4 linked regions of the Drosophila melanogaster genome follow. The protein of the gene in region 3 interacts with the protein of the main gene of each other region in a pairwise test. Each region holds a gene or a part of one and is shown on either strand. Other genes may lie near its edges. The genes, in order: CG12730, CG11357, CG14194 and Cyt-b5.

Region 1 (4,711 bases), about 14 Mb from region 3:
ATCGAGGCGAAAACTTCATCAAACTGGCAACAAAAGTAATAATAATGAGGCGGGAGCCCCCAAAAACAACACAAACAATAGACGAGCCAAGTGCTTTTTTGTGGGCGTTGGGTGCTGCTTGTTGGGTGATGATGGTTGTTGCGTTTGTGGGTGGTTCAAAAGATTTGAAAAGCCAACAATGGCAACAGCTTACAGAGCACCGAAACCAAAACGAAAACGAAACAAGAAGCAAAATCAGACAGGGGGGCACCATAGTGTACCTGTTTATTTTCAGTTTCAATGCGGATAAGGTAAACAAAGGTTGGCGATATCTTTTTCATGGAGCGCCGGTTGCAAAAATTCTATCCGGCAATGTTAGGTGAAAATAGCTTGTTGTGCAAGCAAACATGGTCGCAAAAGTAGTTCGTGTAGTAAAATAAATAAACAATAGCCTCGGGAAAGTGGCCTTTTGCGTAAATGAATCAATAACAATATGCACGATCAACAATTGACATTCAAGCCCAATTTACGCATATGAACTCTCATCATTAAAAAACACCCTTCATTTACAAATTACATTTATGTATTTTTGTTTTATTCTTCCATTGCAAACGATTTATTTGTTTATAAATACAACAATTCAGTGGTCATGAAAAGCATTGTGCTAAAAACTAACTACTTCAATGTATATTCACTTGAGACACACAAATACTATGTACTTAATAAAAGTAAAAAAAAAATCGGGTATATATATGTACATATATATTCACGCATTGTTAACCAGTTATCAGAAGAAGGGAAGAAGCAGAGCCAGAAGGCACAATACAACTTATCTCTTTGGAATTTGCTCTCTTGTTAGTGGTTTTCTCTCGCTTTCTGTTCGCTATTATATCTACGTTATTGCTGCGATCGACTGGCTTTATCTTCTTCACTTCTTGACCTATATCTAGCGACTATTAGATAACACATACGGTAACTGTTCCCGCGACAAAAGCTTGCCACAATTTCAAACTTCAGACTTAAATGCTTCAAGCAAACGCAAGCGATACTCGCTCTCTCAAAACAAACTCACACACACGCGCACGCACTGGCACTCACACAGATACTCGTTCGCACACAGATACTCGCTCTCACACAGATACACACACAGAGTAAGCCTAACGTAGTAAGAGCCACCAAAAGCTGGGTTCGTGCACCTGAAACCAAGTCTATATCGTTTGGGTGGCCACCTCCCGCTGGCGACTGCGCCGATAGTTTCCATAGGCCTCCAGTCCGTTGATGCAAAATGCTGTCAGGCCAAAGAACTGTAAAAAAAAAGGTGAAGAATAGGGTGTATTAGACGGATCTACAGAGAGTTCATCACAGCGAGGGAATGAATCGGCTCCAACTGGAGGCTCAGTGTTTCGTTTACCAGTATCTTTCCTAGCTTAATCATTAGCCGAAACAATGAGCCGTAATACTTTTGGTTTCCGAACTTATCCTAACTGCGAGAACGCCACTTACCGCCGCCGCCGTATAGGCTCCAATATCCAGGGAGAGTACGAGTCCGGAGGCCGTGAAGTAGGCCAGGGCCAATGAGGAGTGCACCGCCAGGGACCAGAGCGTGGGATCGCATCGGCAGAACTGGCGCTGCCACAACCGGAGATACCTGGCCAGGAGCAGGCAGCCGGTGGCCACGAATCCGATGGTGACTACGGCCAGGTAGAAACTGCCGCGGAAATTGCTCACGCGCACCGGTCCGCAGATGATGCACAATATTCCAACAAAGCTGCACAGCTGAAAGACGCACACATACAAGCGCACACATTAAGGGCGATACACAATGGCACATATGTGTAAGGCTAATTACCAAACAGGCCAGCTTGCACAGGCCCGGCATGCTGAGCAGGTATTTGCGATCGTAGTCCTGGGTTCCCGTCAACGACATCGCGGCCAATACAAGATATATACGTTTTGGATGCAGTTAATCCAGATTGTCCAGCCGAATAGATGCCTCAGAAACGAGCGATTAAAGCCAATGTAGCAAATGTAGCGAAGCGCCGCTGACTAATTCATATTGCGCTCGCCAGCACGCACAGAATGCCACTGAAGTAATACAAACAACACAAATACTCAGAATTCTCCCATCGTTACACTCGGCGAATAAAACTACAATTGCGAGAGCGAGAGAAGCAGCGGGCGAAAGAGAGAGAGAGAGAGAGAGAGAGAGAGAGAGACAGAGAGCGAGCAACACATGGCACAGTGGGACGAAACGATCAGGAAATGTAGTACATATTGTGTACAAATTGTGTTATCTACTCAAATGGTATCTAATGAAACTATAAATATTAAGGAGATTAGCTTTAGCTGGGTATTTATAAAAAATAGGATTATTAGTTTAAGAAAGCTGTAATTTCCAATAAATGAATAAACCATATTAACTTGTCTTACTAACTGTAGTTTTGGGGGTCTGTTCATTGTGAATGCTTCTTCGTTACATTATACTAATTTTCGTTCGGGGGATGTCAAGGGGTGAATCTAACACGGTGTGACTCACTGACCTCCAGGGATATATTAAATATATGTATATTCATAAGGCAAGGTGACCGGTTACTGGGTGAGCAAAGCTTTTTTAGTCGTGTGAAGTGCCGAGCTTTTATGACTGGCATTGCTTGTGACATGCAGTTTGAGGTTGGGCCCTTTTTGGACCACTGTGCATTCGAATTTCCATCTGTATCTTAATGCCCAGCATCATTAGATTGTGCCATTCGAATCGTATTTGTTATCGGCTATGACCGAAACGCTTCTCGTTATTTTAATCGGCACAGCAGGCTAATTGATTTAGTTACTTAACGGATAAATCGCTGCACAAATCCGAATGCGAATGCAAATGCGAGCCTCCCAAAATCAAATGCAATTTCGTCGTGATTCACATTGCAAAACACAAGCTGCCCAGCACATATCATACGGAATACGTGAATATACACAAACCATTTGGTGGCCAGATAAGTTTGACGAACTTTGAACACACTACTCCATACAAAAGAAAAAAATTTTATGATACAAAGCTACAAAGATATTACAGATACAATTTTTTCATTCATTTAATTTTGATTTCTCGCTACTCATGTACTATTTTCCACATTCAATTGTTAAAGTTCTTGAAAATGCATAGATACTTGTATAGGGTAGCAGTCGAAACACTCTGGCCCGACATCAAATTGAGTTATATTAATTGACTCATATTCATGAGAGGTGGCTCGTTTACGAAATGGCCGCATGGGTGGCCCCCGCCTCCTGGCCAAGGTCACTTGCACAATCGCCTCGACTGACTGAGATTCAGAGACATTCACAGTTTCACAGATTCACATATTCTAATGCAGAGCGGAAAATGCTGAGTGAGATATCTATGCGACGGAAATCGGCCACAACAAGCGGAAATGAGCACGAAAATCATAAATGAACTGCACTTGAGCAATTTAAGCGATAAAGTGCAGTTTCCATTTCGAGGGTAACAAACAGTCAGACGACTGCAGGGCAACTAATGTCTACATGATTTCTAAAAGCTCATGCATATATATGTATAAACATATATATATACATAAATATGGGAGGCACGAGATTTGCGCTCATCGATAAGCATCGAATCGTCTGGACAAGCGGGGAAAATGTGCGGCGGAAAAGCGAAGAAAATTGACTGGAGAGCGGATTTACACTTGAGGGCGTGCGAGTCTCAATGGCAAAAAGCTATGATTACCTATGGACATTTCTTTGATTTCTTTAGGACTTTGAATTCGATAAGTGCACAGAGGACTTTATAAATGTGCGCTTTAAACCACTGAATAACAGCAAAAGCATCTAAATAGTTTTTAACTAAATATCCAACTTATACTCAGTGGCACGTTGCTGAGAGTGCATTGTTTAGTGATATATCTCGCCTACGATTCATGCACATGGCTGGTTTTTCGCTTACGCACTCAGGCAATTTCCATCGCTTTTCCACCCATGTTGTAGAGCAGCGGAGAGAGAGGGGGGCGGGGCCGGGGGGAATTGGAAAATGTGGGTGCATCTAATTAGAAAAGCATTCGCTGTAATTGCCAGCTGCTGCATCAGCAAGATTTTGTTTGCTTTGGCGACGGGATAACGTGGAGCAGGACCAAAGGCAAAGCGACATGTGAGCTATTAAGCAGTGTTCTGGCTGAAAAAATCCAGTTTCAGATGCATCAGAAGCATCTTTAATAATGACAAACTTGGCGATAACTATGACCAATTAAACGAAAGTTGGAGTAAACGTTTGCGAGCAGGCAGATAATTAGTTTCAGGCACTTTGAAGGAAGTTCGAAAGAAAGCGGCAAGTTGGGCCGTAGCCATTTCTCAACCTCGACAAAGAAGTGTGCCAGCTGGGTATCTGTCAGATACAGATACTAAGTTGCCCAGATACACGGCTCGATTTGAATGCAAATTTCGTGCAGTGGCTGTCAGACTCTGCAGCTGACGTGACAAGACCAAGACCACCCCCCCTAATTTCGAATCCCGAAATACCCCAAAAATAGCAACGACCTCAGCATATCTGCCAAGTGAATTTGAATCTGATATTCCCTTCGACTTTGGGCGCTTTTTATCCGCCAGCTGACAACCACCCCCATTTCCCCCCTCGGATTTTCCAGCTTTTTCCCCCCCGGGGAACAGAACATTTATGCGCCTTATAAATGATTATCGTGTGCACTCAAGTGCCAACGTCATCAATCAAATG
Region 2 (4,786 bases), on a different chromosome or scaffold from region 3:
CTCAATTAAATTTTTTGCTGATAAAAATTAAAACGAACTAGACAAACATGATCATGGCCATTTTTTGCTGTTCTTGCAACGCTCGGAATCGCTCGCATGTAAATTAAAGAAATCACACGATGATCCAGTAAGTAAGAAATCCAGTAATAAATTAAAGTTCTCCTGCAGTGCACAAATTTCGTGGATGTCTGGTTTCTATCCATTTACGCGCGCAATCAAGAAATTCCAAATACTTGCAATATTTATAGAATGTATCCACATCAGCAAATGCGTGTGTGAGAAGAGAGGCACGTGTATGTATTTGTTTAAAATAAAAGAACAATTTGCATTATACGAACATAAACTTTTAAAGTATTTTGGTATGCCTTATCTAAACAAATTCACAATGGAAATAAGTGTTATTCTCTCGATGTTCCGCTGGTTTCAAAAAAAAAAAACAATTATCTGATAAACATTATATTTATTTGAAGCATTGAATTTGAAAGTCTCACATGAGGGGATCACATGATGAAACGGAATGAATTATTATGTTCGAGTATTAGAGTATTATATTCTAGCTGATACTAGCACATTGATAAAGACCAAAATACAATTTTCTTAAAATTATTAAGATTGGTGTGCTTATACACAAAATTCTGTGAAACTTGCTACATGCAGATTACTTTTCGCATATCTTAGAAAAGCATGAATAAGTCGAGTGGAGAAACCCAAAAGGAAGTAGAAAACAGTTGAAAGATTAAGTTGTGAGACATAAGGATGTTATTTCATAAACGTACTGTTTAGGATCGCAAATCGCTCGAAATTCGGGTATTAATAATGAATAGCAGTTCGTACGTGTCGAAAATTTCGGCGCGGCAAGGGGGAGTAAAAGAGAAAGCAAAAAGCTGAAAACGTTGACGTGACGTTACGTCGGCGGAGAATCTCGGGGTCACTGTACGGACCAATAAAAGTAACACCGCCGACGTCTAACGCCTCGCACCGCCGGTTATCAGTGGGCCAGAAGGCGCAAACGGGTGAAAAGCGGTGACAGCAGCTGATAGGCAAACAAACAGTCAAGCAAAGCGTATACAACGTTATTTTGCGCCACTGAAAAAAGCGTTAAAGCCCATTCGACAGAGACGGCCGATCGAGGGGAGATGAATGTGGGAAAAAGAGAGAGCGAGAGCTTCTCGCGGAAGCTGGCGCAATTAAAAATCAGAGCTTCGCCAACGAGCATGTGATTGAAAATTTGAAGCGCCAATGCAAACAATGAACTTTAAACTGAACGGAATGATTGTAATTCCTTATAAGCCATAGTGCTCAATAAATTAAACATTAATTTAAAGTACACGTGTTAAATGTCTATTAGCGAAAATCACACAAAAATCGATTTAGATCCAAAATATCGCCCTTAGAGATATGGTGCTATCTTAGTGGGACTCGAACACGGTCTTCTTAGCGACTTCTTCTTCAGATAACAAATCTATTGAATATGTAATAAGTTGAATACATATGACTTGATTGATATCAGGAAAAATTGATATAGAAATGGGTTATTTTTTATTGATAAGCGGTGTATCGGAACTAGTGAGATTTCCACTGTACCTAAGTGATGAGGTAAACACTCTCGCAGTCTTGGGCAAACATTCAGACGGGAGCGAGGCGCACAGAAAGATAGGAAGAGGGAGACGGAGCGAGGCGGCACAGTGGGACAGGCCAAGGACAACGAGTTGAAAAAGGCGAAAAGGAGCAGACGAGCCAAAACGGAGGACAACAAACAGGCATGCGTGCCACTGTGCCTGAACTTGTTCAAGGTCAGTCCTCAGCGACAGCGACGTGCTAACAAAAAGCGAAGAAAATTCATGTTGGAAAAAAGCACAAAAGAAGAGCACACAACAACAACGCCTCTTAAAGGCGAAGAAAAGAGCGAAAGAAGAGATAGATGCGTATATAAAAAACAAAAAAAAAAAACGCTACCCACACATGAAAGAGAGTGAGCGAGAGAGCAAGTGTCCCTCCCCGCAGCAACAATGACAACAATAGGATACTGTTCAATGGATGCTGATAAGCAAAAGTAAAAGACAAAACCCCTCGAAATCTGGAGAGATAGTATCCAAGCACTCGCATAATTAATTTCATACATTTTATGCTTTTTTTTATGTATTAATAGTCACCTGCTGGTTGTTCGCCTGGCTGCTTCCTCATTAGCCAGTCAGTCGAATCCTTGCGGGAGAGCGAGGGAAATGGCAACAAATGTGCGTTTTTAATTAATTTCCATGTGAAGCACTCACGCACACTTACACACACCCATCGCTTTGGGTAACAGTTCAAAAACAGAGTTAGAGCGAAAGAGACACCAATTGGGAGTGCTAATTCAACACACACGCGCACGCAGCACTTAATTTGTATAGATTTTTGGCATCAATTTGTTGTTGGCAGCTGGAATAAATTTACTTAACTTAACACAATTTTCAAGCTTGCACACAACCACACCAACACGAACACCTATACAGACGCGGCGAAAAGAAATGCAAAAGGAGATGAAGAGGAAGAAGAAGAAGCAGGCTGAAGGATGCTGGGCCTGGATTTCTCTTTCCTTTTTTCGCTGCCCAAAAAGGCGTTGACAGCGCTTTTATTCACTTTTAATTCATTTAACGATGGTGTTGTCCGACTTTAATTGTTTATGCGCTTGGGTTTTTTAAGAAAAACTGAATAAAAAACGGAATAACCGCCGTCACTCGTCGAAAAATTCTCGGCGCGGCTATTGTTCACTTATTATCATGTCATATTTTCCAACTGATTTGAAAGACAGTATTTTAGAGAATAAGTATACCGAGCGAGTTATCAGCGACGTGTGCAATTTTTATGCACTTTTTTAATATTTTAAGTGGAAAATAAAACACAGAGCGTTTCAGAGGGCGCTAAATTGTTTTTTGCCCGTTCGGAACTGAGTAACTGAGAAGCGTAGCGTTATTACCAGTCTTTTTCTTCTTTTTTGTTGCTGCCCCGTTCGAATTTCTCTCGCACTGTTAGCCGCTCTCAGTTGCTGTTAAAGCGGCGAAATTCACTGTTATATTTAACAGAGGCGTTGTTGTTAGTTGTAAAGAAGGGCTGTTAAGGGGAGTTGGCTTCATAAAACTTTTTGAATATTCAGAGTTAAAGAAATCTAGTTTTTAACAATATTTGTATCAAAACACATTTAAAAATATTAACATGTTCAGTATTAATATATATTATTTAAGTATAAATTTCAAAAACCCCAGGCATAAGATTTTATATACACCACTGGAATGTTAACTGAAAGCGGGAGATAGGGATGGAACTCAAGCATCGACACGCGTTTAAAATTTGGGGTGACCATTTCTATCGCTTTCTCATCTAGCTTGCCTAGATTTTCAAGATCCATCTGCCAAAATTGCTATCGATTAAAGTGCATCGGCTCAGTCGCCATTCGTAAGTTGTAAATTACGAAGAAACGCAATGATAATTGATTCAACCGATAGGAAACCTATTTTAACTTAACATTAAGATTTTAACTTTTTAAATTGCACTAATATCGTTATCAGCCAACTAAATTTTGTAATTACTTAATTACTTAATAACAAAAATTAGAATAATATTTAATTCGTTGAGTAATAATGCCTTTTATGAAACCTAATTATTTACAAACAGTCGAATGTAAACAATATTGGGGTGATCATAAACATTAAGAGATATACATTTTGATAAGTGTTTTATTTAATGTTTATTTAAATTACAAATATCCCTAATATGACTGGTAAATACATCATATTACTTAGATAGTGACAGTTCGTCAGCACTGACTATCGATAGCCGCCTTTTGTTGCAACTTCCATCTTCTACGTGCAACAGAAGAAGTTCTAGAAATAAGCAGGAATAAAAGTTTGCAAAAATGAGTGCTCCAAAAGGGGACGGAAACTTAGTTCCCACAGTCAGAGAAGTGCAGCAAAAGTTTGCCGACATCCTGGGCCATGGCAACGATATAACCTGGGATCTGTAAGTAGGATTCATCCGAAAAAATTGCAAATTATAAAGCTCAAGGTTTGCAGAATATCGTCGGGTCAAGAAAACATATTGAAGGCAAAGCTGTCTCTGCTGAATTTCGATTCTAACATGTTTCATGCGATCTGGAGTTATAGTGAGTTATAGTTATAGTAAAATTAATAATATATTCCAAATAAGCGTCATTATGTTATCTACTTTCTCATATCAGGAAAATACTCCAAAGGGCAGTCACTCACGTCTTTATTTTTTGTGATGGTTGTCAATAATGTATATGATCCCAAGCTGGCCGAAGAAAGTAGATCCTGGCGCCTGTATCCGGTGTTTCGATGCCGACGATGCGTGGGTAAGCTCGATAGTTATAAGTAAATCGAGAAATGTATTATATTTTTTTATTTGTACAAGATGAAACTGGACATTCCAGCAACATTGACTGTTGCATGTCATATGTGTCACAGTACTCAATGTCTGATTCCTGGAACCGATTTGTGACCCATACGGGGTTTGCCGCAGGTCTAATGGTCACCCCGTATCTTGGAGTTTACAAGCAAACCGATGGTCGCGTTGAGCTAAAAACGTATACTACCACTCAGATATGGCACCCAAATAAGAAAGATATACCAATAACACCCGAATCGTTGAAAAAAGCATCCAGTGTGACTAATAAACTTAGAAAAATCATCATACATTCAGTTCCATTTCTGGTTTATCCTGAAGAGGTTTTCGACTTCTGCGCCAGTGAAAAGATGCTTTCGTCGATTTTGGTATAAACTTCATATTTCAT
Region 3 (4,812 bases):
CTATCAGATACCCTTTACTCAGCTAGTGTGAATGCGAACGCGAAATTTCTGAATTTTTCTGGTATATCGATAGATATTGGGGAATAAAAATTGTTCAAAAGTGTGGGCGTGGCAGTTATGGCCGCTTTAGGGCGTTAGACTGGGTGTGGCAAAAAAAAAATTGTAAATCGATAGAAATTTACACGACTAATAAAATTATTAAAAAATATCCAAAAAAAATTTCAAAAATGTGGGCGCGGCAGGTTTGGGCGGTTTTAGGGCGTTAGAGTGGGCGTGCCAAAGTTTTTTTTAAATCGATAGAAACTTACACGACTTATAAAATAATTTAAAAATATTTCAAAAATGTGGGCGTGGCAGTTTTGGGCGTTCGAGTGGACGTAGCAAAACGTTGTTTGCAAGTCGATAGAAATTAATGAAGACTAATCAAAATGTGAAAAAATATCAACACATTTATTAAAAGTGTGGTCGTGGCAGTTTTGTGCGGTTTGTGGGCGTTAGAGTGGGCGTGATAGCCTTCTAGCATTTATAGTACCTAAGATCTCGACGTTCATACGGACAGACGGACATGGCCAGAACAACTCGGCTATTGATCCAGATCTAGAATATATGTATATCTTCTGTCTGTTACATACTTTTCAACGAATCTAGGGTATAAAAAATATAAAACCCTCGGTATAACCAGTACGATCACAAATTCATTAACAATATTCAAATATTTATAAGCAACTACAGTTTTTCCCGGCATTTACAACATATAAATGTTTGCCGGATCTACGTCCAATGATTGTGTTGCTATTTGGGCGATGTTCTTTTGAAAACTTGAATCTCCAGCCACGATGAGGACACGCTGTCCGGGAATCGCGGGATTGAGGTGGGTGGCCAGTTCGGTGGCATCTAATCGGGACACCTTTGCCGTCTCCTTGTAGCGTAGATTGTCCCGGAGCTGAGGGCACTGCTGGGCACAGTGGCCCGCCTCCTGGCAAGCGGAGGAGTCACACTGCTGATGCGGCAGGTAGAGGCAGCTCCTGTAGTTCCAGAACTGGGCGAACTCGAGCATCTCCTCGCGGAAGTAGACATGCAGCAGGTCGTGAGCGCACACCAAATGCCACAGGCGACTCATATCCTCCTCGTTGTCCAGCACCTGCCGAACCAGCGGCAGAGTGGGTGCAATAGCAACTCCCTGGGCGATAATATAGATGCACTTGGCCGGCTGCGGTTCGTGTACGTATTGCCCGATGGGACCACGGAATTCCAGCAGATCGTCGGGCTGTACGGCTTGCAGGTGCCGAGACATTGGCCCCTCCGGCTGCAGCTTCACCAGGATACGGAACTCTTTGGCCACAAAGTCGCTCCAATAGGGCGAATACGGACGCAGCAGGGAGCCGACGCGCAGCATCACATGGTGGCCGGGCGGGATGTCAAGCACCGTGTCCACCGCTCCATCGCCGTCCCCCTCCTCTGCTGCATGAGCAAAGTGCAGGAGCAGCAACTGTCCATTGGGTCCCAGCGCTTCCCGCCGCAACAGGCGGAACTTCGTGTAGCTCAGGATCACGTTGCGTTTGCCAGCCAGCAGGACGCGTTTGCTTGGCCGTGGCTTGTTGTCGAGGATGCAGTTGGTGCAGCCATTGCCGCAGCAGTCTGAATCCCGCAGCTGGTCCTCGTTTTCCTTCAAATCTTCCAAATAAGATAACATTTTCCTGTGCCTATCGAGGCTATCGATAGCAGGCTAGCGTAGCCGGAAATCTGGCGAATTGTAGCCAGACATCTGGCTAGTCCTTAGTCAAGCCAATCGCCAGAGCAGGCAAGAGTTATCGATATCGAATCTCGGGACAGAAATGCCAGTCAAAAAAGTGTGTAAATAAAACAAAGAACAGAATATCTACAGGGAAAGGGGTGAAAGATCGGCGCCAGGCGTAGAGTACTAACTGCCCCCGCCCCCCCACTCCATCATAACACACAGCCTTGTTCGGGCGAAGATCGCTTCGTGGAGCGGACGCGGTGCGGCGGGTGCCCACGAGCAACTAGTGTCCAGGTACCAAGTGTCCAGTGACATAGCTCTATGGTGTCCTCAGCAACATGAATCTGGAATCTCTGTTCCGCGACTTCAATCCCTGGTGAGAAGCCTCCGACTGCGGACGACCGGATCACATGGGTTCCCAATCTAAAACATAATCGACCATGTTCCCTTTCAGCAAGTTCATCGTCCACTGCAGCCTGTTCATCTTTGTCACGCTCTTCGCCTTGCGCCTCGACAACTACATTGGTGGGTACTTTTCTGTGGCAGTTCTGGAATACACAACGTCACCCAGAATTAAAATAGCACGGGGATGCAAGAAAATACAATCATATAACAATACAAGCATATACGACCCATACACAAATATGTGTACGGTGCACCATCGCTTCTTCTAGAGAATAGTCCAGATTTATTGTATACAAGGGTTAGCAAGCAGATCATGAGATTGGATATAGCAATATCGAAGAAATCGTCTGACCATAGAGGATCATCCAAATTTGGTCACTTAACGAGGATATTAGTTCTCTCGCTATTTTAAATAACTTATCTAAGCTAAATATTTAGATTTTTAATTACTGAACAAGATTTATTGTAGGGCATTAACCTTATAATTGGCCTAGTAGCCTAGTCTAATCGAATGCCTTATCCCAGATTGGCCCTACTGGGCGATTTTCACACCGCTATGGATATGGAAATGCACCGCCATCCTGGGCGCAATCGTAGGAGCCATTGTGTGGTGTCGGTATCCGCATTATCGTCTCGAGGGCGATGCCTACACGCAGTTCAAAGCGATGCTCATCTCACTGGCCCTGCACCTGATCCTGCTGATGTTTGAGCTGCTGGCCTGCGATAAGCTGACCTCGGACCGTCACTTGTGGGTGCTGGTCTTCATTCCGCTGATCTTCGGCTCGGTGGTTAGTGTGGGCGCCTGTGTCTGGGCCGTCAAGCACGATCGCTCCTTCGAGCTGGAGCTCTTCCTGGCGGTCAACGCGCTTCAGTTTGTTTCACTGCCGCTAAAGCTGGATCGCTTTGTCTACTGGAACTGGGACGTAGTGTTTGTGCCCATGTGGATCGTCATATGCCTGAGCCTGGTCAGCGTATTGTATAACATCATCTTCTGTGGCATCATGATGCGTACGCCGGAGGTCTCGCTGCAGCAGAAGAAGGCGGCATTAAACGCAGCGGTGGGCAACATCTGCACGGTGCTCCCACTGCTCTGCTTTCAGGTGAGACCTCATCTAGTCCCTCCAAAAGATTGTGCATCGCTAACCCATCTATTCCGCCAGGTGGTCATCTGCGACAAGCTGGACGGCGAGCTTAAGTTCCCGTACATCGTGGTCTTCTCACCGCTGCTCGTCTCTATTCTGGCGCTAATAGTTCTTAGCTCCTCGGCAAAGGGCGGCAACATGTGGTGGTTCGGCATCCGCAAGTCTTTCAGCCAGTTCCTGTTGTCCGCGATGCCGTTCCTGCAGGAGTACGGCAACATCAGCTATCACCCGGAAACCCACAGCAATGCTGCACAGTCCATGCCGCTGGACGCAGCGTCCTCCTCGACGAGCATGGCGGCCAGCGAGCAGCTGCACGAGTTCCACAAGCACGACAAGAAGAGCAAGAAGGGGGCCAAGAATGACATTCTCAAGCCGGTGGTTCCGTTCGTCAGCATCGATCTGCCGGACTAGATATAGACGGCCAGTACAGCACAGGAGCAGTACAGGAGCAACAGTAAAACAGCAACATTTACAATAAATCGCAAGAACCGCGTAGACTTAAGGACAGCCTCTTTGCACGCGCACAAGGAGACGCCGCACACCTTTGTTCAGGTGTTTATGTTAGGCATTGTTAAGCATACCCATACCCACTTACACACTCACGTCTCCGTCGTAGCTTTTAGACTTGTACTGAATTTTAATTGTAAGACAAACGCTAACACCGCCCACGAACCATGTCCAACCAACCAACCAACCAACCAAGCACATCGCACCCACCATGCTCCCTTCCACGCATCCGCCTGCATATGATAGCACATATAGCACATACATGCATACAGGACCTGACCACCACACGCTTTTGTCCAGACCCGAATCGGACTCCAACTTGACCACAAATTGAACAGCGCCGCATTCGGAATTTTGACTCGTGTGCTAGTATTATATGTAAAACATCTCTCACACCTTGAGAAGCCCACTTATGTGTAATGACCTACTATAAAGTGTAAATAATTAACAGAGTACGTGAAAACGAGAAATATACTTAAGTGCTTCCATCAAAATGAAAAGACGATGATGAAATGGTTCGAAATTCGTGTGAGTTGTATTTATCTTTATTCAATTAGGAAGCTACAAAGTTTACATATGTATTTCATAGTTAAGTTTTGCATTTCATTTTTAATTAATTCTCTTACGTTGTGTCGCCTAAAAAGTTATGCAAAGGTAAAAAGTTGCATTTTAAAAAGTGACCATCCATTTGCCGGACAAAATAATTGAAGATTAGCCGGTGAGCGGTATATATAAAGCGCATATATATATATATATATGAATATATGAATATAGTCTGCAACCGGATCGGATGCGACTGGAAGTACATATTCTTGGGGGTGTGGGAAAGAGAGAGTGAGGCACATAATCGGAAATGGGGAATCGAAATGGAGCGGGACAGAGTTATACATTAGTATAGATATAGTTAAAGTGGGCTAAACGCAGGCCGTGTAAGCATTAACAATAATTCAAATACAATATATATCTGATCGATCGCGAGGTGCAACTGGCAACTTAACTATTGCATAACATATCGCATGA
Region 4 (4,630 bases), on a different chromosome or scaffold from region 3:
TCATTTTTTTTGTTGCGCTTGAATTGAAAACATTTGTTCGTCAATTCTAGTCAATTGTATTTAATGGCGGAATCAATCGAGTCTAATGACGGATTGGCAATGCAAATTTAGTGGTGCTGTCGCGCCAGGAAAATGTTGACCACTGTCTCACCTTTTCCCCGCCCGAAACGGAAAATGTCGTCAATTATGCAGCAATGAGACATAAAATTTAATTGAATCGCTGGCGGCCAACCGAAGTGAACTCTCGGTGTAAAAAATATGCAGGAACAGGGCTATTTTTAGAGCCTTTGTGTGAGTGAGAATAATGCCTTCGATCGCAATCAAGATCTGAGTTTCCGACTTTGTTTTTCTTGTTTTCCAGTAGTGCGTGTGTGGTACTAATTTACAATCGTCGATTGCGTTTAAATGGGTTATAATAAGTATACTATATCTATATATAAACCAAACCCACACCTAATTTTGGCATTATACTCCACTATTCTGACAAGTAATCAATCACATTACGCCTACCCCAAGAATATCGCATATAACCCGCAATGGATACATAAATCCAGAGCTTGGGTGCTTCTCCTAACACCTTGCACAGGTATCCCCCGGCTGGTAAGTGTTTACTGGCCAGTCAAATCTCCAGGTGCTGATAACCCGAAGACACAAACAATCTGAATGATTTACGGGCCACTCGACTCAGTTTTGGATTGTCCCCCATAAGAGTTGTTTACCCACGGGGCTCCAGAACACGCGTAAATCGGGATCCAAGGGCATGATTGAAGTTGGCAAAACTTAATAACTTTTTAACGCATAAATCCCGTCACTTGAATTACGCATCAGCGAAGCGGAAAAGGAAACATAGTGGTGGATGTATACCAGAGAAAGGAAATCGGACCCAAGAAAATGGCCACCGCACGTAGGCCACTCCAGGATGCCAATTGCGTAATAAGGAACTTACCTTTGTAAAAAAGCTAAAAGCGCTGCGTATCAAAAGCACACCCGCCGTCACTTATCAATATATTTATGCTTAGTTTGTTGTTAACTTGAATTGCGCTATTGGACAGCGCTGTAGCTTTTGGAAAACTCTTCACAATGCGTGTCGACTGTTTTTATTGAAGGAGCGCCGCAGCCGCACGGCGTACAGCAGGATACGTTTGACTTTGAAGTCTCCTTTGCCGAGTATGGAATAAAGGCAGGGCTTGAGTGTAAATACAAGATCCGAGTCTGCGCATTCGTCGCTGGTGGAACCAGTTCGCTGGGATACCGCTCGAAATACATTTTTATTAATGAAATGGTCTGCCCAAAATAAATTTGCTTACGAATTTTGTTTGTACATTTCATTTGAATCGTTTATTTCACTAAAGGGTTTTCTCACATTTCAAATTGGGCGCCAAAATTAATGAGGTGCTTTGGAGCACTGGTCTTATCGCGCCCAAAAGTATGCAGTATTCTTTACATGTCGATGGTAAAATAGCCGTGATCCACTATACAATCGCATCGCATAACCACCGCTCCAAATCCGATATATTGTGTATTGGGTGCTGTAAACAAATTATAAGCTAGATAAATAAGTTATAAGCTATTATATATTATAATAAAATATGTGCTCATACCACAAACAATCTGGCTAGTCTAAACGGTCACTATTCGATATCGATAGGCGTTGGTGTAAACAAGCCATCTTGCTGCGCGCCAGTGTGACCGCCGGCCACCAGTTCTGTGAGACCGTGCGCCCTGGAGGAAGAGTGCGAGGCTGGACAAATAGTTTTTCCGTGACACAAATCAAACGCGCAGTAGAAATCAACAAGTGATCACCATGTCGAGCGAGGAAACAAAGACTTTCACGCGGGCCGAGGTCGCCAAGCACAACACGAACAAGGACACCTGGCTGCTCATACACAACAACATCTACGACGTCACCGCCTTCCTCAACGAGGTGAGAATCGCACGGAACACGTCGCAGCTGAGTGCCACCGCCCCGCACCCGCTCCCACCACTAAATGGGGGTCATCGTTTGCTATTGGGCCTTATCTGGGTTTCACTTGTCCCGATGAGCTAATGGGCCCAGCCCCAGCACAAGCCCAAGCCCACGTAGCCACATGTAGCGACTCTAACTTGCATCGCGGGGCAATTAGGTCTGTACTTTGACCCCCGGACGGTAGTTTGACCTGCGTCCGGATTTCGCAGATTTGCTGCGACGTCGAAACTTCCAGCAGCCACTTTCGCCCAGCTGTCGAAAGAGCTCCACATGGCGAAACTATCCATTTGCATACATGTATATATGTGTGTGATGGGCGACGAGGGTCAAGTGTTAAGCGAAATCCGCGTCTGCATTTGCATCTCATTTGATTAACGGACTCCGATTTGAATTCGGATTCTTATGCAAGTGCACCACCGACAAACCGACTGCCGCCGGCTCCGAAAAGTGTATCACCCTGACGCAGCAGTAGGGTCATCACCAAATCTATACATATAGACTACACAAGCATTCCCGCTATCTGCGGGATCTAAGATAAGCTCTGTGAAAATTCCGATCTAACGATGACGTTGCACTTTAGGTACACGCTGAAAATAACAATAGTGAGAGTGACCAAGCATCTAATTTATAATTCCATTCCAAAGTTTCAGTCCGCCTATCGACCGCAGCCATCCCCAGTCCATGTTTAAAACATGCCCCTAATCTGATCCGCTTGGTCCTCTTCCATCTTAAGGAATAACATTAGCTACTGTTACCTTGCTATCTGCGTAACAGCATCACCAGACAAATCGCAAATTAGACTTCCAGATTTTAGAGCGTTTGCTGGATCTAAAGATTATTTTTTACGTGTTTATTCGTTATTTATTCAACATGATCAGTTTATTTTGACGAATCTTATTCAATGTGTTTCCTGCATATGTATGTTCCGATTTGTCATATATAAACCAACACAGTAATTACAATATAATCATCGAAATTAGATAAGGCTAAGTTGGACTATGTAAAAGTTTAAAGAATTGTGAAAATAATTATGAGATACGCTTATCATCGATTCAATTGCACTCGGCCACCTTGAAGAGTTTGGCTAAAATTACTTTAGCTTATCACTCAGCACAATTGAGGCGAAACAACTTGTTTGCTTTTAATAGTAATTAATAACAATAATTACATCATACTTGCTCCGCGGCTTTTTCAGCATGACTCTAAGCTATAGTACAAAGTTTCAACATTATTATAATGGTACAATCAAAACGTAACTTCGCTCGAGTTCTTAGGATCAAAGTTTCTGTAACTTTATTGGCTTATAAGTGCCAAATTAAATCTGTAACTGAAATTAGTTGTGATATTTTTACTTTCAACGCAACGGAAGTATAAAATATTACCATAAAGCTTCCGCATAAACGAATGTTTCGAAGCATTCCCGACTTTATACCTTGATACCATACCCTCTGCTGTCTGGTCCATGAAATTCAGGGTCAGACGTCCATTAGCATTTATCCAAGATCAGCCAACAGTTATTTATGCGAATATATTAATCTGTCTCTTTTCCTTCACGACAGCATCCCGGTGGCGAAGAGGTGCTCATCGAGCAGGCCGGCAAAGATGCCACGGAGAACTTTGAGGACGTTGGCCACAGCAACGATGCCCGCGACATGATGAAGAAGTACAAAATCGGTGAGCTGGTGGAGAGCGAAAGGACAAGCGTGGCCCAGAAGTCGGAGCCGACCTGGAGCACGGAACAGCAAACCGAGGAGAGTTCTGTGAAGTCGTGGCTGGTGCCCCTCGTCCTGTGCTTGGTGGCCACGCTCTTCTACAAGTTCTTCTTTGGCGGTGCCAAGCAATAGGAGGAGCCACAATGCCCAGCAGAGACTTTCCAGCCCGCTCCGGAGTCGCTTAGTTAATCAACAAACGGAGAGCCCGAGAGTCACATGAGGAGCGGGACAGTGGAGCGGGAAAGCTTTTTATAGTAAATTTGTGCTAAGTTTTAACGATAATTTTTGGCATTTGGCGTTTTTGTACAACCCTCTACACGTGTAATTCCTTCAGACGGCGGTTCTAGACTCTAAAAGTAATTTATCCCATTGATATTCCAACATTTGAGGCACGGAACGAAAACGATAAGTTTTTATTCGCATGTATGTACATTAAACATATTTCCAAAAGCAAGCAAACACCCGTCCAAATTTTTGTGCTTTCGTTAGATGTCAGATATATTGTTGACCCACGCAAAAATAGTCCAAATTTGGTGTGTAAAGCAGGGGGTAATACCATGGCCAAGATCATTCAAATGGCGGTGATGCTGGGCAGCTCCAAGCTGGGCCACGGCGCTTTTGGATTCGATGAAAGGCAAGCGGACTCGACTCCAGTGCCACAGATGAAACGGGAGCTGCCCACGCGAAAGATGTGCCTGGAGGCCTTTAAGCGAACCCACTACGACATCCTCATCATTGGCGGCGGCGCCGTGGGTTCCGGCTGTGCTCTCGATGCTGCCACGCGGGGCTTGAAGACCGCCCTGGTGGAAGCGAATGACTTTGGCAGCGGCACTTCCTCCAAATCGAGCAAACTGTTGCACGGCGGCCTCAGGGATCTGGAGCAGGCCATCTCGCGTCTGGACGTGGCTGCCTTTCGGCGTGTTCGCTGCTCCTTGCAGGAACGCAGCCACAT

Evidence for each region.
Region 1: the proteins of CG14194 (region 3) and CG12730 interact in a two-hybrid assay, tested with the Drosophila melanogaster proteins (one large-scale study listed by BioGRID).
Region 2: the proteins of CG14194 (region 3) and CG11357 interact in a two-hybrid assay, tested with the Drosophila melanogaster proteins (one large-scale study listed by BioGRID).
Region 4: the proteins of CG14194 (region 3) and Cyt-b5 interact in a two-hybrid assay, tested with the Drosophila melanogaster proteins (one large-scale study listed by BioGRID).

What each region holds. Positions count from the first base shown.
Region 1 is NC_004354.4:5,514,616-5,519,326, reverse strand, and holds CG12730 (uncharacterized protein), read right to left. Parts: upstream 2,720-4,711; 5' UTR 1,907-2,719; coding exon 1,829-1,906; exon of another isoform or gene 1,827-1,828; intron 1,756-1,826; coding exon 1,483-1,755; intron 1,284-1,482; coding exon 1,188-1,283; 3' UTR 556-1,187; downstream 1-555.
Region 2 is NT_037436.4:4,540,275-4,545,060, reverse strand, and holds the start of CG11357 (uncharacterized protein), read right to left. Parts: upstream 3,011-4,786; 5' UTR 2,957-3,010; intron 2,942-2,956; exon of another isoform or gene 2,419-2,941; 5' UTR 2,154-2,418; intron 1-2,153. Other genes in the region: CG32243 (uncharacterized protein), read left to right, coding at 3,893-3,996, 4,050-4,138, 4,214-4,348, 4,408-4,766.
Region 3 is NC_004354.4:19,191,756-19,196,567, forward strand, and holds CG14194 (uncharacterized protein), read left to right. Parts: upstream 1-1,799; 5' UTR 1,800-2,076; coding exon 2,077-2,114; intron 2,115-2,192; coding exon 2,193-2,263; intron 2,264-2,668; coding exon 2,669-3,243; intron 3,244-3,303; coding exon 3,304-3,696; 3' UTR 3,697-4,282; downstream 4,283-4,812. Other genes in the region: CG7914 (uncharacterized protein), read right to left, coding at 746-1,693.
Region 4 is NT_033778.4:7,531,807-7,536,436, forward strand, and holds Cyt-b5 (cytochrome b5), read left to right. Parts: upstream 1-1,699; 5' UTR 1,700-1,804; coding exon 1,805-1,924; intron 1,925-3,202; coding exon of another isoform or gene 3,203-3,289; intron 3,290-3,525; coding exon 3,526-3,810; 3' UTR 3,811-4,130; downstream 4,131-4,630. Other genes in the region: Gpo2 (glycerophosphate oxidase 2), read left to right, coding at 4,236-4,630. UniProt on the Drosophila melanogaster protein: Cytochrome b5 is a membrane-bound hemoprotein which functions as an electron carrier for several membrane-bound oxygenases.